Linked DNA regions of Alligator mississippiensis. The protein of the gene in region 1 binds, or shares a complex with, the protein of each later gene. Links are inferred from orthologs where the notes say so. Each region holds a gene or a part of one and is shown in the gene's direction. Other genes may lie near its edges.

Region 1 (15,476 bases):
CCACAGCCCTTGCTCTCGCACACACATAAACAAACCAGTACACCAAGGCTTGTAGTCTTTCTCTGGACAGTAGGGGAAGCCTTTTTGCTCTGGCCCCTTCCTGGTGTTGATCTTGTCTGGGTTCCAGTCCACCTTCTGCTCACAGACTACTTCTTTCCCATAGCTCAAACTTCCTTGCTCTCCCCCTTGAGCTTTTAACTGCCAGTGGGGCTACTCCTGGAGTAGCTAATTACCCATAGCTGGGCTTCTATAAAAGGGTTGTCTGCACCCACTTAAAGCACCAGATCCTGCTGTTACAGGGAACTATTAGAATTCAAACAATAAGAACCAGTCATAGAATCCAGCTCTCCTGTTTCTATGTTTGCTCATCTCCACTGGGCCAGGCTTTTTCCACAGCCATTATCACTTGTATTGCAATAGGGTTTAGAGGCCTCAATGGAGATCCCAGCCCCATTATACTGAGCATTAAATACATGTGCAGGAGATGGTTCCTGCCCCAGAGCACTTAGGGCCTAATTAAACAAGGCAGACAAAGGGGAAGGAGAAGGGCACTACACTGAAACATTTAAGCATGTAGCCTCATTGAAGTAAAAGAGATTACTCATACATTGAAAGGTATGCTTGATGCCTTGCTGAATAGGGGCCTGAGGCTTTGTGGGACAAATGTAGAGAAGAGCTCAGCACCCATGATCAGGGCTGTTTTTCTGTTCACCTTGGAAAATGCAGGCCTTATTTAGGGGCCTAATGAGGGGCTGAGTTCTACCAAATTGGGTCCTAGTTATGGACATCAATTCTAGCCCTAATGGCTTGTACAAGTTTTGCTCTACATGGTGTGGGTACAGTTCTATTGAATAAGGTGCTTCATACCAGCTGTATTACTGTATATGCATAAAGTAATGTGGGAAGAGGAATAACTATCCTGATATAAAGTGTCTTTATACTTATGTAACCACATTCACCAAGGGCTTCTTGCCACACAGTTATTTATGTGAAGCACCCACACCCCGCACCAACATAGTTATCCCTGTAAAAGGTTAAATGTAAACTAAGCCAAAGTGCTAGCCCCGGGTCACAAAGGCAGACTACAAAAGTACTGAGAAGTAAATCCAGATCTCCTAGATCCTGGGCCAGTGCAAGATTACCCCATAGCTGTCTTGTTTTTGATCACTAAAATTAGTGCTTTTAGAAAATTCCTGTGAAAAAAAAATGAAACTTGAAGTGCCTCATGAAGAATTTCACGTCACTCCAAGTGCTATCTATGTAACCAATATATTGACTCACACACTGCAAAGTTCTGTCATTTCTAGTCATATAGACTACACAGTCCTCTCTGTTACACACACACATACCAAATGCACAGTCATCTTGATCACATGCACATAAACTGCTTAGTCCCCTCTGTCATTCACACACAGACACTGACACACACAGAATGCAGAGCCTATAATCTCTCTCTCACATTCATAGAGATTTCACAGTCCACTCAGTCTCCTTCCAACTGTGCTGCTTCTCTGTGAAACACACATGCCAGATTTTATTTTCACAGACATACGCACAGCCTTCATGTTTCTTTCTTTCACTATCACTCTGTCACACAGATATGAGACTTGAGTGACAGTGATCATGAAATAGCAGAATAAAATAAATGGATGTCAGAAAAGCAGACTTAAACAGACATAGAGAATTACTGGGTTGGATCCCACAGGAGGAAGGTATAAAGGGAAAAACAATGCAGGAAAATTGGTTGTTCTTTAAAGAGGCAATGAGGGCACAAGAGCAGGCTATCCCAGTGAGAAGAATGAGAAAGCACAGCAAAAAACCTGCGTGGCTAAACCATAAGCCCTTCAATTACATGAACCTTGGTAAGAAATCTTAGAAGAAGTAGAAATTTGGCCAGGCTACTAGGTATATGAATACAGCATAGGCATGCAGGGACAAAATCCGGAAGGCTAGGGCATAAGCAGAGATGAAGCTTGCAAGAGACATACAAGGTATAAAAAAAAGCTTTCCATGAATACAGGAGAAGGGGTAGACCAAAGCAAGTGTCTGTCTCTTATTGAGTGGAAGGGAAAGTTAATAATACACTGTGCAGAGAAGGTTGAAGCATTTAGTGAGGTAATTCTCACCCAAGGTGCCATGGCCCCCTGGGGTGCTTTGACATCCTTTTAAGGATGCCATGGGGTGTCACATCATGTTAGTTAGGTGTGCAAACATGATTCATAAAATAAACTCTGAGACTTCAAATAGGAATCCATAGTCTGACCTGTTGTGCACTTTCTGAGTTCTAGGCAACAGAAAAGTTGCTCTATTATTTTTCCATAGTAAAAAATGAGTGAAAACTAAGAGCTAGCATTTTCCAAGAGCTGTCTTGAGTTTAACAAAGAGTGCCTTGACTCTAATGATGGGTGCATTGAGTCTAAGAAGGTTGAGAAACACTGATTTGGTATCTTTTCCCTTCAGTATTCATAAATGAATAAAACTAACATCCTGGACAGGGGTAAACAGTTTGGAGTAGGAGAAAAATAAGGAGAGATTGATTAACTAAGTTGCATGTTTTCAAATTAGCAGGACCCAGTGAGATTCATCCTAGAGTACTGAAGAAATTGGCTAAGGTAATTGCAGCGCCATTGGCCATTACCTCCGAGGACTCATGGAGGTTGGGTGAGGTCCCAGAAGATTGGAAAAGGACAAAATACTATTTACCTTTCAAAGGGGGACAAAAGGAATTCTCAGCCTCAGGAAACCCAGAATGTGGCAAAGGGAATGATATAACTGACAGTCTAACTTTGATCCCCAGGAAGAGATAACATAACATGAAAAAAAATGATTTATAAGTACCTAAGCAGGGGTTGGCTGGTATTAAATGATTTCCTGAACAGCCAGCACAGGCCAGTCCTGATACACATAGGGATTGAAATTCCAACAATAATGTCCATTCCCATGCTACAATATAACTTCAGAAAGGCTAATTGGGAACTTTTTACTGAGGATATTGAGCGCACTGTTTCTCAGATTCCACCAAAACCTGAAAATTGTGAGTACTTTACCAAGCTTGTGCTCAAAGTGGCCTGATCATACATCCCCAAGCATTACTGGGTGGAGTACACTCCATGGTGGCCTGAACAATGCAAATCTCTGTTCCAGGAATTCTCGGACTCAGGAAACCCGGAATGTGGCAAAGCTCTCTTGAACTTGCTGAATGAATCCAGAAGACAGATGGACCAAAGCAATGGAGTCAATAGACTTCACACACTCAAGCCATAAAGCTTGGAGCCTCCTGAGACACCAGAAGCAGCACCACAACCAACAAATAAGATCATCAATATATCCGTAAATGCCATCCCCTCAAAAAAGCTGCTGGATAGAAAGACCATTACAGATCACCAGACTAGACAGCAAGTAAGGGCTTGACTCCATCAATCAATGACGTAGTGTAGAGTACAACAAAAACAGCCCAGTCATCTCCCTTCACTGAAGAAGAGGTCATTGAAGCCCTAAGAGCTACCAGATCATGGAAGGCTGCAGGATTAGATGGGATCTACCCCGAGTTCTTGAAACATCTTGGCCAAAAAGGAGGCTGTTGGTTGGCCAGACTCTTCTCCAACATAATAGCCACAAGCAAAATTCCCAAGATACAGTAACAAGCAAAGGTCATTGCTATTCCAAAACCCAGAAAATCAACCATGGACCCAAAAAACTTCCGCCCTATATCCCTGCTTTGTACAATATATAAACTTCTTGAAAAAATGCTACTGGTTTACATGTTTTTCATCTTCAAGGTTATACCAGCTGAACTGGTTGACTTTCACCCTGGACACAGCACTAGCAACCAATTGCTGGCACTCATTACATATATTGAAGCCAGGTACCAGTGCAAAGAGATCACGGGAGCTGCCTTCATTGATTTATCAGCAGCTTATGGCAAGATGGCCTCCTCCTGAAGGCGTCAAGGGTCATCAGGTGCCAGCAGGTACTCTGTCTTTTATCAACACTCCTGTCTAACCAGCAATATCACGTCCATCTAGGGAGCACTGTCAAAAGAACCTGTCTACTAAATAGTGGTCTCCCACAAGGATCAGAGCTTGCACCAGAACTTTTTAATGTATACATAAGTGATCTTCCTGTTACCACCAGCTGGAAATTCGGCTATGCTGATGACCTGCTGCTTGCTACTCAAAGAAGGACTCAGGCTGAAGTCCAGGCAGATCTTTGCAAAGACCTCAAATTGCTTGAAGAATATTGCGCATGTTGGAGACTCCACCCAAATCCAAGGAAAACTGTCGTCATGTCATTTCATCTAAACAATGCCCACACTGACCAGAAACTTGCCATCACTTTCTGTGGAGAAGAGGTTAAGCATGAGAAGTTCCCAAAATACCTTAACTTTCAATTGGAGCCTCACCTTTTGTGAACTTCTATGGAATGTTGCTAAAAAAGTGAAAGCCATGAGTTAAGCTTGTGCATAAACTGGCCGGAACGACGTGGGGAGCAAATACAACCATGCTTCAAATGGGCACTCTGGCACTTGTTTTCTTTGCAGCAGAATAAACAAAAGTGTGCACACAAAAATTGTTGATACACAGTTAAATGCAGCTATGAGGATTATATCAGGAATGCTAAAAAGTATGCCATTGCCATGGCTTCCAGTCCTAGCAAACATTGCTTCCCCACAGTTCCGCCACAATGCCACATGCATGAGGGAATACCATAAGGCCACCGGTAACCCAAACTTCCTAATCAACAAGGACATCACTATGCCACCACCAGATAGGCTCAAATCTAGAAAACCCTTCTGAGAAATAGAAATACACCAAGCTCTATAATGATAACAAGAGCACCAAAGAACAATGAAGGGAAGCCTGGGTAAATACCAGCTTGCCACAGAAAAACATCATCTGTGATCCTACACTTCCCCAGTCAGAATTTGACCTACTAAGAAAGATTTGGTCCTCCCTGAATAACATCTGGACACTTCATGGAAAACGTGGGCACCTACTCCATAAATGGAGAATCAAAGAGACTCCAAGTTGTTATTGTGGTGCAATTTTTCAGATGATGCAACGCATTGTGAATGATTGCCCAATTAGATCATTTAATGGAGATCTAAAATCAATCCATGCAACTACACCTGAAGCAGTTGAATGGTTATCAAATTTAGATATTAATCTTTGAATGTTGTAATCCTAAAATGTCATATGAAAAAAGAAGAAGGGGTTGGCAACCTTTTAGAGCAGCAGGCTACCCCTTGTAATCTGGCTGCTGCCACAGGGTGCCAATCCCTGCTCCCTTGTGCTATGGGTCTCTCTTCCCCTCTACGGGACTGTTGTTGTCTTTGCCACAAAGAGACTTCTATGTGGACTATATAAGGCTTTTCACACTGTTTCCTATGACATTCTCATAAGTAAGTTAAGGACAGATAACATAAATAAAACTCTTTAGGGTGGGCTCATAACCGGTTGGCTAATTATGCTTAAAGGGTAGTTATGGCTCCATGTCAATTGGGAAGAGTTATCACATGGGATTCTTCACCTTTTCTTCAGTCCACTATTAAATATATCTTCATCGATATCTTGGAGGATGGAACTGAATATGCAGTTAGTAAATCTGTGGGTGACACCAAGTTGTGTGATGTAGCAGACACTTTAGATGACAAGATTAGGATTCAAAATGACCTTTTGTATATTGGAGAAATGGTCTAAAATAAATAAGAGGAACTGTAGAAAGAACACGTGCAAAATACTACACTTAGGGCCCTGCTACATATTCAAGTTGAAGCTGGATAGAAACCAGCTATAGAGTTGCACCACATATTCAAGCGCTAACTTTATAGCTGGATAGTAATTTTTATCATGTGATAATTACTTTTGCATGCATAGCTGGTCTAAGTTTATTGCACAATTAACCAGTTAATTCTGTGACAATTACTTTGCACTAGTGGCCAATCTTACTTTGCACATGTGGCCTGTCAATATTTATTGTGTGATTAACCAGCTAATTGTATAATATACTAATGTGTAGCAGGGGCCCTAGGAAGAAACAATCAATGCACACAGGGAAAATGGAGAATGACTGGCAAGGCTGAAATACTGCAGAAAGGATGTAGAGATTATAGTAGACTGCAAGATGACTGTGAATCGGTGGTGTAATATTGTTGAGAAAAAAGCTAGTAACTTTTATTACTGTCACATGCAAGTCATGGAAAGTGAGTCTTCCACTCTATTCAGCACTCCAGGGATCTCACCTGATGTACTCTGTCCGGTTTTGGTCACCACCCGTTAAGAAAGATGTGAATGAATTTGAAAGATTCCAAAGGAGAGGCAAGAAAAGATTAGAGGTCTAAAAATGTGACATGAAAACAGTGTGGAAATTTGAGATAATTTATTCTAGGGATGAGAAGACAAAAAGAAAGATTGGATGACAGTCCTTCAGTACAATAAAAGGTTGCTCTGTAGGGCTTAAATATGAGATTCACGGTAGACAGAAGAACTTTCTAACTCTGAGTGGGGTTTGGCATTGAAACAGATTCCCTAGAGACAGGTCATCATGTCTCCATCACTAGAAGTTTTTTAATGCACATTAAACAAACATTCTTCGGGGATGGTAGAGACAGGGAGGATCCAGCCTTGAGTAGGAGTTTGGACAGTAGCTGATCTCCTGAGGTCCTTTACAACCCTGTTTTTCTGTGAATCTGTGACTATCCAAGCACACAGACAGCATATTCCACTCTGCCTTGCAAGGACCTTGCTGCCACACAAGCACACAACCTTCATTGTCACCTCTGTCACACGCACACACAGACTGCATAGCGCATGTCATATACATGTGCGCATGCAGACTGCAGTCCCCTCACACGTGTAACATGCGCATTGCACAGCCTGTCACACACATGTGCACACAGTCACACAGCCCTGCCACACACAAGTGCATGCACTTACTGCACGATTTAGTATACACATGTACACGTGCAGATGGCACGGCCCCTTCACACGCGCCACGTGTGCATACAGATTGCACAGCCCCGGCACACACGCGTGCACAGGCGGACTGCGCAGCCGTCCCACACACGCTCGCGTGCATGCACTACACAGCCCAGGACACGCGCGTGTGCACGTGCCAAGGGCAGCTCCGTCACGCCCATGCCTCCTCCACACGCCTGTGCACTAGCAGCACCACCCGTCCCACGCTTGTGCAAACAGAGACCACCAAACCTCATCACACGTGTGCGCAGCGCCTGGCCCGGCCCGGCCCGGCCCGGCCCCGCCCCGCCCCCGCGCACCGCAGCCAATGGGCGCGGGGAGGCGGGCACGGCGGGCGAGCTGCGCGGTGCCGGCCCGGCCCAGCCCGCCAGTCCCGGCGCCGCGCGGGGAGCGCTCGGCTGCGGCGGCTGCGGCTCCCGAGCTGAGCTGGGCGGGGCGGGCTGCGGTGGGGCCGCGCGGCCGGGGCGGGGACCGGGGCAGCCACCGCCACCGCGACCAACTTTCCTCCCGGCCGGGCGGGCCCTTCCCGGATCGGCGCCCGGCCCGGCCTGCGGGGAAGATGAACTACCTGGTGAGTGCCCCCCCACCCCCCCGGCTCTGCCCCCCGCGCTGTCCCGAGGACCTTCCTGGGGCGCCCCGGGCCGGGCGCAGACAATAGCGGGTCTCCGGGGTCGGCGGCGGCTGGAGCAGGCGGGAGGCCGCGGGTCCCGTGTGGACGGCCCGGGCGCTCCGGCTGCAGCAGGGCCGGGCTCCCCCGCCCGGGGGTGACAGCACGGGCCCCGCGCCGGCTGCCTCCCCGGCCTCGGCGCGGGCAGCCTCCCCCGGTGCCCCCCGCCGCACGCAGCCCGCGCTGGCCCCCGGCTTCGGCCTCCCGGCCGCGGCGGCTCCTAGGCAGCGGCGCGGGGATCTTCCCTGCAGGGGAGTGAAGGGCAGCTGCCGAGTCTGCCGTGCTGCCAGCGCAGGCTCCCTGGCTTATCCACTGGTTTATATTTGAATGTGAAGCTCTGGAGAAACGGCGCTGTGGTTGCAGCAAAGCTGAGGCAGAAAAGGACTAAACGCCCAGCGGTTTTGGGGACCTAAAGCTGTTGCAGTTCTGTAGCTGCTTAAGGACCTTTGAGTGACAAGTTTGCAGAATCGTAGCCCAGTTCTCGGAGGACAGATGTGCCTGGAGTAAAACCCACCAGTGGCGTCGGTGCTAATCGGGCACCTCAGCTAGTGGGAGGCTGGGGCCCAACTCCTTCTCCCCCGCATCAGGCAGACGCATGTTGCAGTTGCGTTCGTTTGGGGCCAGCAGAGTGCTGCACTGCTCTGTGCGTGGATGTTGGCAGCAAGGCATTCAGGGGCATGCTTGCTGCTGTTGTCCCTGCCGGGAGGCTGTGCAGAAAATAAGACTCCAGGCTCTCAATCTAACACCATATGTATGCACCTCCTAGGCATCTGGATGTGGTGGCTGGAGGGGGTAATTACCTGGATGAAGGAGAAGATTGAAGCCATGATGTGGAGAATTAGCTTGTTTTAAATCAGAGGCCTTGGGGTCTATTCCTCCCCCAGGTCGTCCTCCTCTTTTATGGTTGGACCCTTGCTTTCCCCCCCAGGTTAACTTCTCCATTTAGCCCCTTCGTGCCAGGTTCTTGCAGTGATTTACTGAGATGACAGTTGCCATCTTGGCCTGCAAAAGCTTGACAAGCAACTTCCCAGACCTGCTCTGACCAGTAACACATACTCAGAAGGTTACACAGCCAGTTCATACCTGCATGTCCCCCATGTCCTTGCAAGCAGTTTTGCTACCCAAAGTCATGCAAGAAGCCATTGGCAAAGAGGCCAACTTCCAGGGCCTGCCCTAACTCCCAAGCAGCAATTTTCTTACCACAACCTTGACCCCATCTGAGAATGAGACTTGCTGCAATTAGAACAGGGGACAATATGTGCGGTTTCCTTCTCCCACCCTGCTGGGATATTTCTGTTTCCTGGAGGAACCTTGCCCATCTTCTTTTCCTGCTTCCCACCATCCACAGGATGATATCATTGAGCTACAGCTGCCCTGTGGCAGTCACCAAAGCAAGGAGGAGTTTCGTGCAGGCATTCCCATGCCCTCTTGCTGATCCCAGGTGCAAGTGACTATGCTTAGCAGCACATGGGTCTGGATATCTGGGCCCACAGGGCTGCTAGGCTCTCTTTCCAGCCTCTAGTTCCTCTCCTTCCATGATGGGGCAGTGGTCAGAGACTGTAGCATAACTAGAGGCAAGCTTGCTAACAGGATTGCTGGCTCAGGGCCAGTCTCCTTTTTAAATCGCCCTGTGTTTTTCATGGTTAAGTGACAGCTTGGAGGTGAGACCAGTTCTGTTCAGAATTATCCACTGTTCAAATGGTGATAGGGTGAAGGGGAATGGAAATAAAATGAACCCAAGGCCAGAGCCTAGGATCAGGTATCATGACATTTGGGAGTCAAGGGCCAGCAGTGGAACAGGCCAGGCCAGGGCTTGGGTCAGAGGCAGAGGTTGGAAGTCTGGGCACTAGGAGAGTTTTATTATCCAAACTGTACTGTGAAAGCTGAAACACCATAAAGTGGGCTGAGTGGCAGTCTGCTTGATGCCAGGCAAAAGTCCCATGCAAGGTGATGCCACTGTGTTGCCCTCCTTAAGGTGGTATTTGCCATTGCTTCTCCACACTCTTCTATAATTTGATGGTTTTAGAAGGCGGCTGTTGTAAAACAGGGAGGGGAGGGGGAGCTGGGAGTCATTGGCACATCCAGTGGTGCGTGTGAGAGCATGAACGTCCTCTCAGTGCACGTCAGCAAGCCGGCTGGCTCCAGCAGCAGTGTAGAGTACAACGTTAATGATTCACTAGGAGATAATCAGCAATTGCCAGGCCTGGCAAATCTTGCTGTGTGAGTACAGTATAGGGCTGGGGGAAGGGAGAGATTTTTTCATGTGTGATTACAACATACAGTGCCAATGGGGCAGCTTGAGGAAAGGATCATTTCTGGCATTAAAAACCTCCTGAAACATTGCTTCAGGGTGCAAGAGAGCCAGCATAAGGGCAGTTGGCTTGCCAGGAGCTTGCAAATCACTTTTCTCCTTCTGTCCATTGGAAATTCTCGTGTTGGTGCAGCACCAGATTCATACCCCTTGTCATGGTGCTCCTGGGTGACCAGTCAGGCCATCTTTGCAAACCACAGGACCCTGGAAGTGGAGCACTGGTTTTCAACTTTGTTAGACTTGGAAAATGCCAGCTCTTAGCTGTCTCTCTTTTTTTTGACTACAGAAAAATAATAGAGCAGTTCTTCTGTTGCAAAGCACTCAGAAAGAGCACAGCAGGTCGGAATGTTTTCGGCACTATGAATTCCTATTTGAAGTCACTAGGTTTATCTTGTGTAGGTGTTTGCACAGCTAACATGGCTGATAGTGTGGGCACTTCCTGGCACCCTGAAAAGGATCTCATGGCACTTTAGGGTGCTGTGCATCCTGGTTGAGAATCCCTGTTCTGGAGTGATAAGGGATCTTCCCCTCCCAAAAGGCAGGGGTAGCATGCTCCTCTGCCAGGTAGGTGTATGCATGGCACTGCTGCCAGGGTTCATCCTGCCATCTCACACCCTCACCAAGGGGCCTGTGCTTTGGGAATAGGCCATGCGAGTTTGTTGCTAATGCACAACATGAGAGTTATTCCCCTAGCTCTCTTCAGTGTGCATGTAAAGGCCCCCTTATAACTTCTTGACATTTACGTTGTTAAAAAAAACAAAGAAGCAGCAAACAAACCAAAAAATAGAAGAAACTTGGAGCATGCGGAGATGGCAATGAGAGTCCAGGCTCATTGCACTTGGGGGAGAGAAGACCCCTAAATGGAACAGAGGCTGTAAGTCCTTTGAGAGAAGGCATGTGTTGGCTATCCCGTTTAAGTGACCTTTTGGGGGGCCAGTACCATGTGGGATTTCTTCCACCACCCCTGGCATATGTTATGGCCTTGTTTGAAGTAGGGCTGTAAAATCAGGTGCACAAAGGGCTGTTTCAGAAACAAGGTGTGGAGCAGCCCTTTATCTCTCTTTCCCTTTGCCTGTGAAAGTGTAAGTTCCAGTGAGTCGTCACTCCCAGCCGCCCCAGGGGCCAGTGGAAAGGAGTGCTGGGTGTGGGCCTGAGCCCTGGCATGGTCTGGGGAAGGTTCTTGCAGTTTCCATGCCCTGAGGGTGCAGCTGCTGCACAAGAGCCTAAAATTGCAGGTGTTGGGCCATAGGCAAGTCCAGACTGGAGGCAGACAGGCGGATGCCTGATGTTGCTCATAGTGTACAGCTTCTGGTGGGGGTTGGTCTCAGACATTGTGTAGGGCTCACAGCTCCCTGGATGGAAAAGATACCCCATGTGGTAAGGCTGTTCTGTATAGAGAGGGTGACCCAGACAGGAAGGATGGCTCAGTGGTGAGTGCATTAGCCTGGAACAAGGGAGATTGGGGTTCAGCTTTCTTCTCTGCCACCGGGTTCCTGGGTGACGTTGAGTCACTTAGCTTACCTGTGCCTCAGTTCCCCCGCTCTGCCCTGGATAATAACACTGCTCTGCTGCACAGGGAGGTTGGGAGGGCCAGTTCATTAAGGGTGGTAAGGCATGCTGGTAAGGCTGTGATGAGAGCCAAAGGAATGCTAACAATCGGGGAGCCCCCCACCCTTCACAGATGTCCTCACTTGATTCCTCAGCGGGTGCTCTGTGCTAGTGGGGGAGCAGAGCTGAGCTGAAGCAGCCGTTTTGAGGGAAGGTTGCTTGTGTGGATGCATTTGCTCTGTGTCCCCACATGGTGTGATGAAGGGGTCTGAGTGTGGGTAGAAGGGCAAAGAGCTTGGCATTGAATATGTTCAAATTATACTGGTGGGAAGAGGTCTGGGGTGAGGCGAGATGGGCAAGGAATGCAGAAGGGGGTCTGGGAGCTGCCAGAGGGTAAGAGATCCACCAAAGAACAGGAGAGTAAATGATCATTACCTGGGTTGCTGCCCCCCAGTTGATTCCAGAGGCGCTGGAGTTTATGGCTCAGCCCAAGGCTGCGCTCTGTAAGGCTACCTGGGGATACTACTGACTTACAAGCAGGAAGAAGCTGATGGGGTGACTGAACCCAAGAACCTTGCTAATGGCGTTCAGTGTCACATCTTCAAAGGTTCTGATACCCCAGGAGTTCAAAGGGGATGTACCTGGTGCTGAGAAGCAACACTTTGGCTCCCACACAAGGCAGCTTCATTTAACATTTCTGCTAAGTGCCAACTCCCATCCCTGAGATGGGTGTGTGCTGATGGCATGCTTGTGATGACTTTCTTAGGTCAGTGTGTGAAAGGGGGGGCGTCTCACTCCAAGGAAGAAAAGAGTAGGGACAGTGCACTGTGGCTCTGCTGACCCTCTGACACTGATTATGATTGCTAGCTTGAGGCTCTGGGGGTTCTTCCCATGGAATGACACCTTGAAAGGCAGATAGCTGGGTCTGTAGCTAATTCTTCCCACTGCTTCCGTCCCATTCAGATTCCCTGTTTTCTAGGTGGTCCATATTGGACTCTGTTGGCACTTCTAAAGGACAAGCCACATCTTCTCAGTTCATGCACCACATAGGGAGCACTGTTTGGGGGTGTGCCAGTGGGACTGGAATAGGTAGTGCAGTGGGGTCTTGTCATCAAGAGGCAGGGACATGAAATGTAGTGCAGAGCTCTTAGTTTGGTTCTAGGATTTCAGCGATGGTGGTAAATGAGGCTATAGTTGCAAGCCCAGAATGATTGAGGAGTGTGATCCACAAGCAGCCCATGGACGTGTCCATAGCATTCAGCATGGATGTCTCCACTGCACTAGTGATGGAGGGTAGAGACCTGGAGGCAGGGGCAGGATATCAGCAGGAACACCTCAGCATCTTCCTGCCACCACTCCCTGATGCTGGTGGGTACTGCCCCTTCTCACCCTGGGCATGGTTTTGGTGGGTGCTGAAACCAGTCTGCTTCACACCTCAGCCTGGGGAAGCATTCTGGGCCTGTTCTGTCAGGATTTACAGCCAGGGCACATGCTAAATCTGCAGGATTGGCTCCTTCTGCCAGGGGCAGCTTGCAGAGTGCTACCATCATGTTTAGACGTGTCGCCTGGTGGATGGGCTCTGGGCTCACACTGCCTCTCAGACACTGCAGTAGCTCTGGCTTCAGCTGAGTTTACCTGGACCTGGCCTGGCCTGGCTTAGCTTGGAAATGGAGTGAGGGGAGGCTGGAAGGGTGAGAGCACCCTCATCAATCTGTGTGGGGGCAAGTGCTGGTAGGTGGGTGTATGCCTGGGGTTGGGGGTTCACAGTCTACTGGCAGTCTTGGTGGCCAGGGGAGAATGACAGCAAATGTGCAGTGGCAACTGGTCTATTGTGCCTTCTCACAGGATGCTCAGCACAGAGCTGCACCCAGATAGAGGCAGGAAGGGCTTTATGGTGGGAACTAGCACCTGGGTACTTTACAGCTCTGTGGACATGGAGATTCAGGAACCAGAAAACATCAGCAGTTTGGTCTTAGCTGTGTGGGGCCTAGGGGAGCCTTGGCTTGCCTTGGGCTGGTGCTGCCTGAGGACAGCATTTTTACCATCAGTTTAGTGTTTGTAGGGTTGTCAGGGCTGCCTGGAGGACATCATTAGGAGTTAGGCTCTTTGAAGCCCTCTGACCAAAGGTGCAACTGAGATGCAAAGCGTGGGCTGGTCAAGAGGACTGCCAATCTCTCAAAGATGGCAGGATATTCAGAGCCCTCCTTCTTCTGCAGATCACTTTGCAAATGTGGGCTGTACTGGGAAGAAGCCCCATAGACATAAACCTTCTAGGTGCACATCACCTTCCTTACTGCTGGGGCACAGCCTGGCAGATTGGGTTTCATCCTAGCTATGCAGTATGTTTGATCCCATCTGTTTCAGTTACCACAGGATAGATCTGTGTGCAGGTTGTGTCTATTGATGCCTTAATGGTGCTGGAATTGGATCCCCTACAGATGGGATCCCTGGTATACTACATAGCTTGATGGAAGGCCAGCATGGCCAAAACAAGCCTTACACAGTTACTTGGACATGCCCAGGTCCAATCACTGTTACGGGTGCTAACTCCACTACAAGCAGGCTAGGAACCGGTGCCTTGTAATCAGGTCCCTTTCTGTGCTTTAAAGTGGGATGTTAACAGGCCTCAAGAGCTGAGGGCTGAGAAGGCCTTGCTTATTCAGAGCCAAAGCCTGAGGACATTTGCTCTGCTTGCTTATCAGATACTATTCCAGTAAAGAACAGTGCATGTGCCCCCTCGGTTCGTCAGTGCACACAGTTGGGTTGCTTCCCAGGTTCGCTCGTGCATTCCTAGATGCCATTGCTCTGACTTTACTTCTGCTTGAACCTGCAGAAGGCCTCCAAGGTGGACAAATCAGTGCACCAGCCTGCTTCAGTGCTCATGCTACACAATGAGCTCTTTGGGGCTGCCCTATGGGGTTTAGGACTAAAATGCTGGAGCTCTTTCCATGATGGGGGCAGGCAGAGGCATCACGTGGTCCCTGGGAAGCAGAGGGATTATCTGTAGTTCAGTGCACTAGTATTTAAGAAGGGGGCTGTAATCTGGGGGTTTAAAAAACTTTTGGGGTAGCTAACACCCAGACCTTGCACTCTGCAGCCAAGGTCTTTCTGCTGAACAACCTCTTCCACCCCAGTGGGCACGTAAATTGTTGAGCAGTTAATCCTTTTTGTCACTGCTTCCCTCCCAGTGCTGTACCCCTTCCCCTGCTCTCCTTCAGATGCATTGTTCTGGGCCCCAGGGAGGTAACTCTGGCCCAGACTACCATAACCTGCTGCTTAAAGGGTGCCTTCCTGCCCTCTGGTGGCTAGATTCTGAACGGCTCAGCTGTGTCCCATGAGCCCAGTATCGTTGACAGTGAGTGGAGAGTCTCATAGCTTTGAGTAGCTCTGGCAATGACTGCTGTAGAGAACCAGGGAATTGTTATGTCTGGGGGAAGCATCAGTCTTTCCTGTTGGCTTTTCTCATCTTAGTACATCCCTTGCCTAGAAAGTCTCCCTTTCCCCTGAGGATGGGCAGGGGCCCAGCCCCCATCCTGCACTTGGGCAGGAGGGCAACAGCATGGACTTGGCACCATCCAAGGCTACTGCCTGCAGAAGAGCAGCAGGACCAGTGCAGATGAGGCTGCCTCCTTGTCCTCAGGCAAAGCTGTGCTGTCTGCCCATCAGAAACTGACTGCATGGCTGCATTTTAAAACATTGTATTTCAAAATTCCCATGGGCCCATGATTATTAGGCAAGGGGGACCCTGGTGAGAGAAGGCAGTGCCATGGCACCCATTGTACCACTGTCTGCTCCAGGTTAGCCCCTGGGGCACACAGTTTTCTCACTCAGCTGCTGAGGATGCATAACTTACAGCTGTGGCCCAGCTCCACTGAGCTTGGAGGGATGCACAAGCCTGAAAGGTAGGTGTGAGAGCAGGAACATCCCAGGGGAAAGGCTGGTTGACTTTAGGGAGAAAATTTACTCCCCTGTT
Region 2 (15,279 bases), on another chromosome or scaffold:
TCATCCCTCATGGGAGCGTCGTGGGCTTTCTCCTCCGACCCTTGAGAGACCGGAGCCTGCGGCACCAGCAGGACCTCTGCCAGGGCTGCCCAGGGTCTGGCAGGGCCTTGTGGCTCCTGGGGCTCGTAACCCCCAGATTGTCCACGCGTCAGCACCTGAAGCTGGGTTGCAGCGCTCGTGGTGGCGCGGGGCTCAGAGCGCCAGGGCAGGGCTTTGCTCTCTGCCACCTACCTACAAGTAAGTAGTGCTCTAGTGAGGGGAAGCAAGGGGGGAACGGAGGAAGCCCCAGAGGCAGGGGACTGGGGGAAGCCCAGAAGGGGAGGGGGGGTTCTTACCTTTCAGTCCTCCAGGCCCCCTCCGGCCTGAAGTGTGACCGCTCCAAACCCGAGCCAGCACTGACCCCCCATCTATACTTGTGCAGCTCATAGTGTAAGGTGTAACAAGGCCCTAATACCAGGCTCTGGCCTCTTGTCAGTCTGGGAAGGAAAAGAAGGAATAGTAATCGCAGGCACCTCTGCATCATCATCCTGTGCCTACACGCCACAGCAACGCATCCTGAGTCACAGTGCCACACTGAACCATCCTGTTGTGTCTCAGCATCGTTGCTTCACGCCGTGACACCCCCTCATGCCCTCATGCAGAGGACACTCGTTCTATCCGGCACATCAGCATTGCATCAGTGCAGCATCCAGCTGCGTCACTGAGTTAAATCACCTCCATAGCGTCCCGTGCTCCCCTCCAGGAGGCCAGCGCCGTGACATCTGCCTACTGCCCACGTTACAGTTTGGCAGCGTGCTCGGATGCAGCAGCAGCCGTCAGGGTGCCACAGGTGGCTACATAAGCAGAGTGCCAGCAGGGGGCTCCGAGACAGCTAAGAGAAGAGATCATTCGCAGCAGGCAGGCAGAGAAAGGATTAGCTCTTACAGCAGTCCTGAGATAAACGTCAAAGCCAAGCCCAGCTTTCAAGGGACAGAGGTAGGCAGAGGAGACAGATGTAGGGAAAAACAGCTGATGGGGCAAGGAGAGGGACGGGCTCAGTGATTAGTGGGTAAAGCAGGCAACTGGAGTCAGAACTGGCTCTGCAACTGCCCTACTGTGTGACCTTTGGCGAGTCACTTCTCTTCCATGATTCTCAGGTCTGTAAGCTAGAAAGAGACAGGTTAGAGTACCAGCAGCAAAAGCCTGTCACACCAGCAGTATTTACTGATAGCCTCTATGAGTCTCAGTGGAGAGAGCCCTAAACAGATGCCAGTTTGGACAGTGCCCATGAGAGAGCCCAACACTTGGGTCAGTTTTCATAAGCATCCATTGCTGCAACACCTGCCTGTTCTCTGAGCCCTCCCACGCTGCGTCCAGTGCTCCTCTCAGCCCTTCTATGATGCCTGGACACTGGCCCCAGTGGCTCCCCTGTCCCCTGTCTCTTCTCTGACCTTTGGGAGCTGTGTCAGATGTTTTCTGTGGCCAGAGCCTCGGCAGGCATAAAGGCTTGTGTCTCTGACTCCACTATGTTGATTTATATCCATTTCCTGCCCCTTAGCTGGAGTGAGATAAGGAGGAAACCATTTTCATTTCAATTCAGGGCAACAGAAATTGAACCCCCTCCTCCCCCCAGATGCCTTTCCCAGCCTCATGGCACTAGATTCATTAGTGGTTCCAACTGACACAAGTGATTCAGATATCCTTGGGTTCCAGGAACACAAAGATCTTGGAAGTGGGACCTGAGCTGTTCTCCAGATTCATTGGTCAGTCCTTTTGCTAGTCAGCATTTTTGAGGAAGAGATTTCATTCATCAATCAGAGAGGAATTCTCTGGGACTTTCCATTCTGTCATCTGGATGAGTGTGGTGCATGCCGGCCCTCGTCCCGGGGACACAGGCTCTGTGCTTGCCTGACCCCTGAGCACGCTGTGCTCTGTGGTACCTTCTGCCTGCCCGAGTGGTACCTTTTCACTCTGGGCACCACCTGCTGGTATTTCCCAGCTTCCAGGCTAGGGCACTGCATGTCTTTCAACAGATGATCCACATAGCAATGGGGCAGGTTGTGTTAGGGACTGAGGGAAGCCTGCAGCCCCTGCCACAGGGCTGCAGCTCTCCAGTAGGGCAGCACAACTTTGCAGCAGCTTTATCCAGTCTCAGCAGGGATAAGTGATCCTTACCAATCACCCCACATTTCCTTTCTGTTCTACCATTTGCTCAGGGAAGGAACAGCCCTCTGCCCACTGCAGCAAGTCCCTTCCCGCCCCATGGACTCAGAGCCCCATGTATGGAGGTGATCGTCTTATGATTTTGCCTCCCCGCTAGGAAACCATATTGGCAGCCCTGTCAGTCCTAACTCATTTGTTTGGAAAGGAGAGTGACTTCTAATCAACAGGCCTGATGAGTCTCCAGGCAGCACAAGGAATACAATAACTTTCCACCTTCCTAAAGGAAACTCCCACCCAGCTCACGTGGCAGCGGAGCGAGCTGCCCCAAGCTTCTTTTCCTGCCAAAACACAGCATTTGCAATCCACAGTGGAGGGAACAATCCTGCACTGGCCCCAGGGGATGGATAGGATGTGTCCGAACAGGCTGCACCAGTCTCTATGACGCCAGCTATGGGGACACCTGCCTGCAAGAGAAAAGGATTCCACAATTCTGCACTGTGCTGGGATGTTCTGTGCCGGCAAAAGTCTTCTCTGTCCTTTGCTTCCTGAAACAGCCCCTCGAGCACCCCCCTACACAGTGATTTGCCATCACACCAGTGGTACAAAACCCTTTTGACCCCCGCGATAGAGGATACAGTGCACCATTGACATTAGATCAGCTCTACTCAGAAGCTTCTGCCACTGTAGTAATGTTGCTTCTGGATAATCCCGATGCCGATATCCAACTGGTACAGCTTATTTCATTCAGAGAACTGCTGGAACAGGAGAGCAGGCCTATTCAGCTACACAATCAGAGCATTTCTAGTGTGGACAAGGCCTTATCTAGGAAGAGTTGCCTTCTAGCAAGAGCAGGGGGACTGGGTGTCTGCACTCCTGTTCTATCCTGCCTCTGCCCTGGGGCTGGTCAGAGACTCAGGCAAGTCGCTTAGAGGAAAATTTTCCATCATGGCCTTTGCTGGAAACCTTTGTGCCTGATGTTTACTGGTGTTCCCCTTTCGCTCCAAGTAAACTAGAGAAGACAACATTTTCTATCTGTCTCGTGTTTGGAAGCCTGCAGATAAAACACGCTCAGCTGTGCTGGGAAGGAATCTACTTATGACAGAGAGTGCGTGCGTGCCTTGGAGAGGGTACCGTGAAGGACACAGGTAGCTGCTGACCCATTGTCGTGAAGGCCGACTGTCTGGCTTGGTGGTCCTTGTGATGTCAGGGGCTTCACCTATCTCTGCGGAGACAAAGAGCTGTGTGCATGCAGAACAACAAGTAGCTCCTCTGAGCACAGCCAGCTGATAAAGTGTGTGTTTATGAGCGACTGTCCAAGGGGAGGGAGCACAGTGTGCAGCTCCCCTGACAGTCATGCTCTAGCTGCTGCCCACACCCTCACTGTGCCGGTGAATCACCACCTCGCAGGTCTCTGGGCAGCTTGTTGGGGCCCATATCACCAAATTCAGTCAGCTCCAAGAGAGTTCATTGTTATGCAGGGGCAAGCGCTTGTCGCCAGAGCTGCTTTGCTCCATCCTGTTGTATCATTTCCCCATGTCAGGGGCCGGGGACTGGATTTCTTCTATGGCCCCTGGGGAGTTTGGCAGGAAGCGACACAGTAAACAGGAGCAGACAATGAGCAGAGGCACTAGGGGCGGAGGCAACGCTCTCAAATTTGCTTCCAGAAACAGAGAGCTCAGTGTAACAACCCTTGTGCCGATGCAGAGCTCAGGGAAGTGGCGGACTGCCAGGGCCGTGGCTCTGCAGTTGTCTGCTTAACCAGACAGCAGGTACGGTCAGGCACAAGCAGTGCAGGTTGAAGCTCTGTGACCTCCCTGCCACCAGCTTGTACTGCAGAACCACATGGGTCCTACAGCCACCCAGACAAGCGTGAACCAAGATGTAGCTCTCAGGACCCCCAATCAGAGCACCACCCTGCTGCCTCCGCACCATCCCAGCAGGAGATGCAGACATCCGCTCACGAGGCTGATGTGAACTATGACAAAGCAATCGCACCCCCCGGTTCTCTGGCCTTCCACGGCTTGCTTCACTCTGGGCAGGTAACGCAAGGCCCCTGAATCCAGAGCAAGCATGTGAGTCAATAACAGTGGGGGGAAAAAGCTTGTTGACAAATGGGGATATCATCCATCAAAATTCAATCTTGCCTTCAGCTCTGAGTGATATGCAGGCAAATAACCTTCCATTAATTTTTCTGTAGCTTTTGGCAGCTGTTTAGATTTGGAGGCTGAAGGGAAAGATGCCATCAATCGTTCTCATACATGGGAAAGGTCCCTGCAGTGCATCCGCTCCTCATTTACTCCCCTCACTTGATTAATGCACCCCATAGCAGTGACATACACATAGCGCTGCCCCTGAGTCCTAGAAACATTAATATGTTTGAAAGCCCAGAACATACCACGACTATTGTATCTATTATAGTGCCGGTGACTATTGTATCAAGTCACCGGCACTGTGTACCCAGAAAGCAGAATGGAGGGTTTTCTCCTGAAAGCATAGGTTTGGGATTCAGGAGGTCTGGATACAAGTCCCAATTCTGCTATAGATTCCCTGTAGGACCTTGGGTAAGTCACCAAGCCTTTCTGTGCCTTGGCATTGGCACTTATTTGCTGCCTCAACAAAAGCATGGTAGAATGAATTCCTGCTTATCAATCATCCACAGACCAAAGGTGTTATGGAAATGCAAAGCCCTTTTCCTGTTTACAAGGTAAATTGAACCCAGCAGAGCTGGCAGACGGGCAGGACGAGACAATATGTGTCCAGTAAAAGAACCAGACAGGATTCCAGGGGCTGCAAACACCACACATCCCAAAGTGCTTTACAAAGGGATCAGGGATGTACAGGGACAAACACCAAAGCACAGACTGTCTCTAATGAGGAATGAGCCTCTGTCTGACCAGCAAGAGCTTCTTACTAAGCCTGAATGATATTGTACAGGCCCTGCTCCAGCTCCTGTGCTCTGGTCCCTAGTTTGCCCTCACCCCTCAGTAACACATTCCCCGGCGCTCACCCTGAGGTTTTCCTCCTGGCCCTGCCAGGTTCTGACACAGCATGGGAAATGCTAATCGTGTTACAAGCCTTTTCAAGCTGTGCCAGCCCAGCTGCTCCTCTGCAACTGTGCATGTGTTGGGCATCGCCTGACAAGCAAGGAGACTGCAAGTGGCCTTCCCAGCAAACCGGCAGGGAAAGGGAACAGCCATGGCCTTCCGCTCCCTCTGGAGGGAGTTCAGGGTCTGGGGCAGATTGAGGAGCTGCCCCACACCAGGCCCCTTTTCTTCCCATGCCCCATACCAAGTCCATACGAGGTCCTCCCCACACTCCAGGCCCTGTGCTGTTCAGCAATCACTCAGAGCCAAAGAACCCAACCCAGCAGCCGCCTGCCCCAGCAAGCATCTGAGTCCCAGCTGCGGGGCCCTGCAAAACGGAGCCTCTGCACAGCACAGCCGGTCCCAACCAACTCAGGACAGTGCCTCTTCAAGGTCCAGGCACAGCCTTTCTGCAAACCACACCAGCCTTCTCCCCTGCCCGTGCCATGCTGCCCCCCTTTCACCATCTCAGTCCTCTCTTCTCACCACCACTGTCCATGGGCATCAACTGGTCCCAGCCTTCAGGAACACACCTTTGGCATGGAAGGCATGGAAGTGGTGGACATCAGTACCAAAGGAAGGCTGCTGGGGGTTCCCAATCTCTAATCGAGGCACTGACCCCCACCTGGTCTGTCCCCTGGGACAGCTGGGTCTGCAGGAGCTTGCACCACTACATTTCCATCATACCCTGTGTACAAGTCCCTCCCAACCAACACCATTTCCTAGGACCAGAATGGCTCTGGCCTCGAGCATGGCTCTGATCTGCACCAACCCAGGCTGGGTTTACAGAGAGCAGGAGCCTAATTTCACCCCCTTGGCCTTTCCACTATTCACAGTCAATAGGTCTCCCTTTCACCCACTGGGGTCCTCCCTGTCCAGCTTGCATCTCCAGGGCCTCCCGCTCATTCTGGGTGAGGGGTGCCGGATGCCATGCTGCATTTCCAGGCAGCATTCCCAAATTGGCTGCTGCCCTCTAGTCAGGTATCCTTTAAGCTGTCCGGCTAAGCCTGAGAGATCTAGCCATGGTGGGGAAAGAAACAGGCGCTTCCATCTCATCAGGACCTCTGGGATGTTGCAGAGTGCTCCCTCAGATCACAGAGCTGTCCTGGTGATGCCTCTGGAACCAGCCACCCTCTCTGCCTCCCATGCAGCTCTGTGCCTGATGGCTGCTGAACCGGCCCCTTGTGTGCTGCTTTTAATCCTCTTGGAGCCAAACTGACTCTATGCAGGTGCTCTGGGAGCCAGCCATGAAACAGGCTCCCCTGAGCCCCAGACTATGTGAAGTATTTCACATCTACTCAGACTGTGGCACTCCACTGAGATTAAGGCACCAGACTCTCTGCCTGCTTTAGTTAGAAGGACTAAATGCTCATCCATGGGAGTGCCTGTTACTCTGTGTGTGCTCTTCTCTGTTCCTCACTCTCAGCAGTAGCACGTAGGATTGGCCTTATCTTGCCAGGCCTTGCAGTGTCCTTCTGGCAACACACCTCTAGCAGCAGCCAGTGTTTGACCCTTCAGAGATCACAGCTAAAGCACTCCCGTGAATCCTCTCCTTTATAGACTTTTTCAGGATTAGCCCTTCTGAGGAGGCCAATGGGTGGGGGTACGGGTATAGGGATAGGTGTGTGCAGTTGCATGGTGCGAACTGTGTAATGGGTTTTTAGTGGGCTTTGAGCTGCCAAGTGAACCACAAGGGCCACTTGGCAGAGTGTTGTAGGTAGAGTTATATATCTATATTTATATACATAGAAATAAATATTTTTGCAAAAAAACCTCCAACTGTTTGCTAAGGTGATACAGTTTCTGCTGAATAACTCCTTATACCTTTTAGGGGTGTTGCACACACCACACCTATCTCAAGGGCACAGGTGAGGGCATGGTTCCAGCTTACACTGTGCGTGGGAATAGAAAGTGTGTCACTGCACTACAGTGAGGAAGGGCAGTTCTAGAAGTTTGTCCACACAAGAGGAAGGTGTTGTTTTCTGGTGGTCAGGACAGGATTCATGCCCCCCCCCAAACCTGGGCACTGAATTTCCACGTGCTATTTAGCAAAGCCTTTGGACTCCTGCTTCATCAGCTCTCCCTCTGTACAATTCCTCAAGCTCTATGAGGTACTTGGAGATTTTGGATGAAAGCTGCCATGTGACAGCAGTGCAGCCATTATTAGAGAAAGCTCTGTCTAAATTTCATCTTAATAATGCACCTGCTGCCACTATTGTCTGCTTCCATCCTTCAGGATTCTTTGTCCCTTCTACTCAAACGCCATTGTGGAGTTGAAGCAGCTGTCACAGAGGTGGCTGCATTTCTGTGCTGTACTCACATCCCAATAAAATCCACTGCAATCAGAGTAACTCCATAAAGGGCCCGGCATTGACCCATTGTTTGTGTGGCAAAATCAGCAAGGATGGTTTGCTGAAGAGCTTAGTGACCAGTGAGGCAGCACAATAAAAATGTGCAATCGTTCTTACTCCCTCATTCTTGTTTTGCAATTCCAGCCACAATGACGGAAGCCAATGGTTTCATCCCTTGCTCAGACATACAACGTCTAAGTTGACAATGTGAACTCAAGCACAAACAGCCTGTCTTACCCAGGGCAGATTTTTCCACTTGTGCCAGTGTCATACTCCAGTAGAGTTGAATCAGATTCCACCTGCTGGCCCTTGATGTAGCTGCTAATGCCTTGGCCTGGTAAAAAACCCACTGGTCAGAGATAAGGATGAGGATCCCCTTTAGGAAGGAAAGGAGTTGAAGAGACTAATTTCTGCCCTACACTGGGCCAGTGGAGGAGCAGGAAGGATGACTGTTACACTGCTATAGCTATAGCAGTATAAGCTCCTATGTGGACATTCTTACTCCAGAATGAGCATGTCTTTCATTCTGGATTAGCCCTACACCCAGCCTGCAGGTTTCTCGGTGATGCAGACAATCACCCAGCCTGCCGGTTCCTCATGGCCTTGGGTGGAGAGGGAGAAGCTAAAAGTCATTGGAGGTTCACTGATAACATCTTCCTCTTCCCCTTCCCCCAGGTTTGATTCTTGGCCAATGCGAGAGCAGATATTAACCTGAGACTGATCTTTTTGGAGCGGGGTCCAGGTTGTCCTATGTGTTTGCACAGCATCCAGCAGGACGGAGCTCTGAGCTGGATGCAGTCCCAGGATGCTACTAACAGGTCACGGTGGCTAACCGTAGCACCAGCCAGGGGTGCTCATGCCAGCAACAGGGGACCCTTGTGGTGGAAGCAAGAGGAGGGAGCAGCGGGTGGGTGCGGGAGACTTTCAAAGATAGAGGAAGTGTAGAGTGAATGAGGAGGAGGGCAGGGGGGAAGAGGAAGGGAGGAGCAGAGAGGGGAGGGCTTAGAGACAGATTATAAACTTACACCCTTTTTTGTTTCAGTGGCTCCATCAGCAGCCGAACATGGCAGAGAGCCAGAAGAAAGGGGGCTTCAAAAAATTCAGTAAGTAGCTGTGGGGTGTGTGCTGGGGACTGTCATGTGGGTGCTCCTTGATTAGCCTGAAGGCCAAGCATAGTGCAGAAGCAAGCAGGGGAAAGTTGCCTGGGTGTAGGTCATGTAGTGGGTCTCCACACCATGGGGGTCTGTGTGCTATCTTCATGGGCTGCTAGTGAGTGGCACTTGCGGAGGAAACACACTGCCTATGTAGCAACTGGGGTAGCAGAGCCAAGAGATTTAGTGTAGCTGTCGGCTCTCCTGCTTTGGATGGGGTGGGTTGGTGTGATCGGGCCGACTGGAGTTTCTGACGCGCTTTGCAGGTGCCACCGTATAAAACAGTCCTGTCTGTTGGCCGCTCTTGAAACCAAGCTGTCTTGCTAGGAACAGTTTTCTCCAGCCAGTATGAAATTGGGCACTGAGGTAGAAATGCAGGTGGGCATCCTTCTCATTTCCCTGCCACCTTGAGCTCAACGGAGCCACATGAGACTCTGTCCCCACTCTTAATCCTGCACCTTGATGGAGACTGGTGGCATACTGGATCCTGGATGCTGAGGGGGACTTGTGGACTTGCATTTGGAGGGACTATGCAGAAGAGATGAGGCTGCATGGGGTCCCCAACCACAGATTCTAATAGTGTTAACTCAGGCTATAGGGCTATAGTGTTTCTGGGCTATAGGGAAAGTCCTGGTGTTCATTGCAATGGGAGTTTTTCCCCTAGATCACGCTGGAGCCAGTGGTCACTCTACACATTTGTAGAGATCATTTGCCATTCAGAGTCAATTGCAAAGGAAATTTACCAGCAGCATCTTGTGGGAGTAACTTTGTTCTTTCCTAGAGACCTGGGGCTTTCCCCAGCACACTGAAAGGCAGCTACCCTACCACGCTTTCATTTTCTGCCCCCTCCTTCTCTTCCTTCCCAGCAAGCCTCCCTGTCATAACACTCTGCTAGAATCTGAATTTGCAGGTTTTTTCCACTCCCAAACCCCTCAGTGCCGTGGCTGAGATAATCATCCCTATCTGATGTCTTCTATGTCAGGATCACCACATGATTCACAAACATGAACCAGCCTCACAACCAGAGAGAATAGTCCTGATTTAGGGATGAGGGAAACTGAGTCACAGAGTGCTGGCTGGGGCAGAGCAAGAACTGAACCCAGATCTCTGATCTCTTATTTCTGAGCATTTGCCATTTTGGGGCGTAGCATTTTTTTGGCAAAGGTTTTGGCTATGAAGGAAGGGCTTCAAAGGCACAAACAACAGTAAAAAGACATTTGATTTTCAATCTTCCCTTCTCCCAGTGCTCTACAGTCTGTCTGTTCAGACTGGAACCTGTGCAGGGCAGGGCCCATCTTCACACGGGCATGGCTTCATCACAAAACTCATTCAGCTATGTTCTTAGCTTGGGTTGGGTAAAAATAAAATAACAGTGAAGACAAAGCAGCCCAGCTCAGCCACTCAAGGACAGCCCAAGGTCCTCTGTGAGCTTGACTTGAGCTGCTAACCCAAGCTAAAATCCAAGTTGCCTTGTTTTCACTGCTGTTTTAACCAGCAGTACAAGCAGTCTGTTTCTGCAGTGAAGACATGCCCTTTGTGTTTGTGCAACCTCTTGAACAACTTATCTTAGTCAAGGCCTCCAGGCACTACCAGAATACAAATAGACAGCAATAAAATAGATCCACTGAGACATATTTCAGCCACTTATTTCAAGTATGGTTATGATTATGGGTGGTCTGGCTGGATGGTACAAGGTAGTCATTAAAGTGCAGGACACCTGGGTTCCCCTTTTAGTTCTGCTACTGGTTTAGTATATGACTTGAAGCTCATAACTTCCCCTCCTTGTACCTTCATTTCCCCAGCAGAAGTTTTGCAAGCTTTAACTTGCAAGTGTTTGCAAATGTCTTGGAGAACCTCAGAAAACAGGGCTGGGAAAGGGCAAAGGGTTGCATTGCAAGGCAGCAGTCACAAACATAGGGCCTTTGGGGCCAGAAGAGACAGCTGTGATCGTTTCACCTGCTGTCCTGCACAAAATTTCCAGGCAGACAGTTCCGCCCCGTGATCCCCACATCAAGCTGGACCGCTCTTGCCCGATCTAGCCCTGGCCTGAATCCCTGCGCCAACTAAGTTGTAGCATGATGAGAGAGCAAAGCGGTACCCTGAGAACAAAACTACAAGCTTAAGTCTCAGTTACTGGCTCCCTAAACAGCATGTAAAGAAGCAGCTGCCACAGGAAGTGGTCACCAAGCTGCAAAAAAGCCTTTAGGCGGTAGGTAAATCAGTGAGGTCGTGTACTGCCAATGTTTGTGGCAAAGCTGGGGGGCTGTGAGATTCAGCTCCCACGCTGAACCACCATCTCAGTGGGGAGAAGCGGGGGAAGGGGCCAAGGTGAGAAACACAAGCCCATCCTGTTTAAGTTATAACTAGGGCTTTGGTTAGCACTCTGCAGTCAGCAATAGCAGGTGGTGGCAGCTGTAAAACGAGCCCAGCAATGGAGAGCAGTCATTGCTTGCTTGCTCAGCTTAGGAAGTGGGTAGATTATCTACTTCCCACAGTGTGTGCTGCTGGCGGAAAGCTGGGCCGAAGTGCTAGCTCACAGTGTGACGGTGCCCTGAGCTAGTTAGGAGAGGCACAGAGATGACACAGATATATACGTGTTCACAAAGGCACAGAGCTGCGTGGTCTCACATCCATGCTGAAACACACACTCATGTTGCACAGTAACAGACACGCTCACAGGTAGGCACACACAATCCTGACTCTCTCCCCAATGGCTCTTGCCTGGCTCAGGGTCCCCACCAACGTGACAGCCTGGTAGCCCAGAAAGAGCCACGGGGCCAGGAGGTGAAGAAACTGGGCAGCACCTGTCTTGACAGCTCTGGGGCGGGCAGTATACCTTTCAGAAGCGAGAGTCTTGGGTTCTGGGCCTGGCTGCAGGGCTAGGAGGCAGTTCCTGCCCAATGTGATATCCTGGCCTGCCCCCCAGGGCCAGGGCTGGGGCCTGGGATTCTTTCATCACTTGGTTTCCCTCTCTCCATAGCCTGGTGGGGCAGATGCTGCCCTGGGAGCTGAGTGCCAGCCATGGTAGCGACAAGCACAGAGCAGCACCTGGAACGCCCCTCAGTGCTGGGGCAAAGAGTTGGGATCCCTATCCCTGCTCAGTCTTGGGCCTGCCCAAGGGCTTCACCCCTAATCTGACTCTAGCTCAGCAAGGCAGGCAGCCACTTGGGCCCCGAGCCTCTGGCTTCTATCCTGCACTGGCTGCAACATTTAGCTTGGAGCATCCTTAGCTACAAAGCAGAACCTTGTAAAGGACACAGGGATCAGCATGCAGGACACCCCACATCAAAGAGCAGCCCTGCCCTCCTCCCGCTGAGCTGCCTGGTTCTCTGCCACGGCTCTGTGGCTTTCCCTGCAGATACATATGTCATGCCAATAAGCACCTACTGCCATACCCCTATATACTCCTGATGGTTGTATTATTGGGGGTCACCAGACATGACAGATAGCTCAATACACTGTTTGGCTGGCTGCATAGGCAGCTAGCAATCTGGGGCTGTTCTGTTTGGAAGCTGAGCCTGTCTCAAGGCTGTTCCCGATCTGAGTCACGTTCTGCCTGAAAGAACTGCTTACGGTGCAGAGTAGCTGGTCTGCAACGCAGGGATGAATGCTACCAGGACACAGCAGCTGGGTGTGACCCCCACTTTGCATAGGCATAACTGATGACTCGATGTGCAAGTCAGAGGAAGGTCAGATGGTTGGTAGGGGCCCAATCCTGCCCTCAGCTACACATTGCCAGGTACTGGATAAGGCAAGAGCTGCAACATGGAAATGAAATCATGATTTTTTGGCTTTTTTAAATACCAGGAGGATACTAGTCTCATGATCATACCAGTTACACATAGGGCAAGCCTGGAGATGGTCCAGAGCTCTTTTCAGAGGATGCACCTGCTCCCTGCATCTGGCTCTTTCCATTTTCACCCAGGTGCATCGACTCAAAGATGAGCAACTCTTAGAACTGCTGGTTATTACCTACTGCACAGAGACCAGACATGACCCCAAGCGCGCAGGGCAGTGCTGGGACCCCCGGCTATTCTCACCTCCCTGAAAAAGCCCAACTGAGCGGAAAAGAAATGAAAGCCAGAGGCAGATGCAGGAGACTATTTTTGATCACTCTCATTTACCACCTACTTAAAAAGGGCAGGTTTAAAGGGTTTGAAATTTATTTTTTGCTGTCATTTCTCTTGTCTTGTTTCCTCCTGTTTAGTTTGGAGCAAAGCCTATGGCACGATGTGTGTGTGTGTGTGTGTGTGTGTGTGTGTGTGTGTGTGTGTGCATGCACACGTGTGTGTAAAGACTTGTCATAAATTGTTCTCAGCAGCCAGACAAATGCAGCTTCTTCCTCTGCAGCTGTCAGTGTTTTGCTGAGACAGGGAGAGGGCTGGGAGAGGGGCGGCAGGTGGCCCTGTTTACGTTTCTGTGGCTAGTTGGAGAGGAAAAGAATCACTTTCCACCTTGTTGCCCATCCTGGGCATGAACCCAGAGGGCAGAGCCTGACTGCGGGGTTAGAGGACTGCTTGGCCCTCACGAGTGCATCTGAGTTTGGGTCTCAAAGTCCCACCTTGGTCTGAAGCCACTGGGCTTAGCAGGACACAGGAGCAGGGAGAAGCAGAGGTTAGCTTGTTATTGGGGTCTCCCTCTTTTTAAACCAGTGTCTCAGGAGGCGCCTAAGGCAGCTCACCTCTCAGCAGCACCATGCCCGAGCAGAGCAGGCCTCACACTCCCTAAGCATTTCTGTCAGACTTGCCTCCCCTGGGGCCATGATGAACATGCCCCAAAGGAGGCCAGAACTCCCCAATGGGGCTGTAGCTACTGAGCAAAACCTTGCCAACCAGTGGGCAAAGGCTGACACAAAGTGCTGATTTGCTGGGTCACTGGAGCAGTATCAGATGCTGCTCTCCTCACTGGCCTGATGCTCCTCCACTGCCTGGATTCCTTAAGGAAACCCATCAACTTGGCTGGCCTTAAGCAAATAGCACAAGTGCTGGGGGGTTGGCAGGCTGCTGCCCAGCCAGCAGGAAGCACTCACACCTTGGTTATGGTGGATCCCCCAAAATAGTGATGTTTTTTGGCTTTGTCATTTCACCTTGACATTGGGGCTATGGGTTTGCTTCTCTGGCCAGATATATACAGAAGAGGGGGAAGAGTTACTATTCTACCCCATCCCCTAGCTGATGCTGTGTGGACTGATTTTCAACAGCCCTGCTCCTTGTGCTGTCCTTTGCCTCTGTGCCAGTGTGTGAACATGGATTGGGTGAATGGAGGTGCCTGGCAGCATCTTGTACTTGCTTTGCACAGGAGTGAATCATACTAACAACCCCTAGTTCCTACCCGACTCTTTCCAGACCCATATCTCCATTAGCCTAACAAAGGTCAGTGCCATTGTCGCCAGCCTACAACAATGGCGCAAACCCACTGGCCCAAATCAAGGTTCAGGAGAGTACCACCAGGTCACACCAATGCAAAAGGTCCTTTTTATCACAGTCTCAGTTTGGGATGCAGATGAGTCCCATGGCCCGGGTCTCCTATGCCCATCCCTGCTCTCCCCATCCCAGCAGTAACACAGACTGATGCTTTCTCATCTTTTCCAGAGTTCTTCAAGTTCAAAGGTTTTGGGAGCCTGAGCAACATCAATCGAGTGTTCACCATCCGGCGAGTGTCTGTCGCCCCCAGCGCACAAGAGACCCTGGGGCCGGGTCTCCTGCAACCCAATGGCTTCCTGGAGGACCCCTTTGACAGCACTCAGGATGACTTGAACACCATGCCCAAGAGCCCCACCCCCTATGTCAGGTCATCCGACATGTACAGCCATATGGGGACAATGCCCCGGTTGAGCCATGCAGGGAAACGGGCTAAGAGCTCCAAAAACTGTCAAGAGAAAGGGAACCTCGGTGGCAAAGCCTGTGGCACATCCCCATCATCCCTCCCAGAGTCCCCAGCATCTTCTGTTGCCCCTGCCCCTGGAGCAGACCCCCCCTCGACAACTGGAGAATCAGAGCAGAACGGGGAAAAGACTCTGCTGTCAAACAGCATCCCCAGCCCCAGGGGATCAATCACGGCAACACCCAAAGTAGAATCCAGCTCCTCAAGGAGCCTCCCTGAATCAGCCCCTGAGTGCGCAGCAGAGACACAAGTGGCCAGTCCAGCACAGGCCCCTGTTCAAGCTCCCAGGACAGAGCTTACCAAAGAGGAGCCATTGGAAGACCTCATTCAGCTAGATGGAGGAGATCAAGGGAAAGAGAGTTTGCTGCCAGACCCCCCTGAGAGCTCACAGGAAAGGTAAGACCCGGTCTGATATAGCCCCCAACTAACTAGTGCTGCTGAATCACGGCTTGAGTTAGGAGGGTGCTGGGCCTACAGACCTCTAGCCAGCGAAGTCCCTAAGTCCTGAACTAAGCACAGGCTACAAGTCTGGAAAATTCAGTTGCTTTTGAGAAACCTTTCAAATTTGAGAACACTTTTCCTGTGGGATTTCTGGGCTTTCCTGCTTCTGGTCCAGATGGAAATGTCTCTGACAGCCTGGCTTTGCCTGTTCTTCCTGTTATCTTGTTC

What was found.
Region 2: the proteins of BCAR1 (region 1) and SH2D3C are in contact, whole or in part, in a crystal structure (PDB 3T6G), measured with the Homo sapiens proteins. The link is inferred for Alligator mississippiensis from reciprocal best matches to the Homo sapiens genes BCAR1 and SH2D3C. Residues at the interface, in NP_055382.2 of Homo sapiens: Ser739, Gln742, Phe746, Tyr747, Gln750, Asn754, Val779, Ser782, Lys783, Ile786, Leu787, His790, Val793, Phe794, Ile795, Asp797, Thr798, Arg801, Gln802, Ser816, Asn817, Cys820, Leu823, Arg824, Val827, Lys831; in NP_733745.1 of Homo sapiens: Thr543, Val544, Pro545, Val547, Gly616, Val617, Arg618, Glu622, Thr625, Leu626, Pro627, His628, Leu749, Leu752, Leu753, His771, Gly772, Val773, Glu774, Val776, Leu777, Leu780, Glu781, Ala783, Arg784, Ala787, His788.

What each region holds. Positions count from the first base shown.
Region 1 is NC_081833.1:41,198,313-41,213,788, reverse strand, and holds the start of BCAR1 (breast cancer anti-estrogen resistance protein 1), read left to right. Parts: upstream 1-7,414; 5' UTR 7,415-7,536; coding exon 7,537-7,548; intron 7,549-15,476. UniProt on the Homo sapiens protein: Docking protein which plays a central coordinating role for tyrosine kinase-based signaling related to cell adhesion. Implicated in induction of cell migration and cell branching. Involved in the BCAR3-mediated inhibition of TGFB signaling.
Region 2 is NC_081835.1:57,374,326-57,389,604, forward strand, and holds the start of SH2D3C (SH2 domain-containing protein 3C), read left to right. Parts: upstream 1-8,585; 5' UTR 8,586-8,639; coding exon 8,640-8,679; intron 8,680-14,318; coding exon 14,319-15,006; intron 15,007-15,279. UniProt on the Homo sapiens protein: Acts as an adapter protein that mediates cell signaling pathways involved in cellular functions such as cell adhesion and migration, tissue organization, and the regulation of the immune response.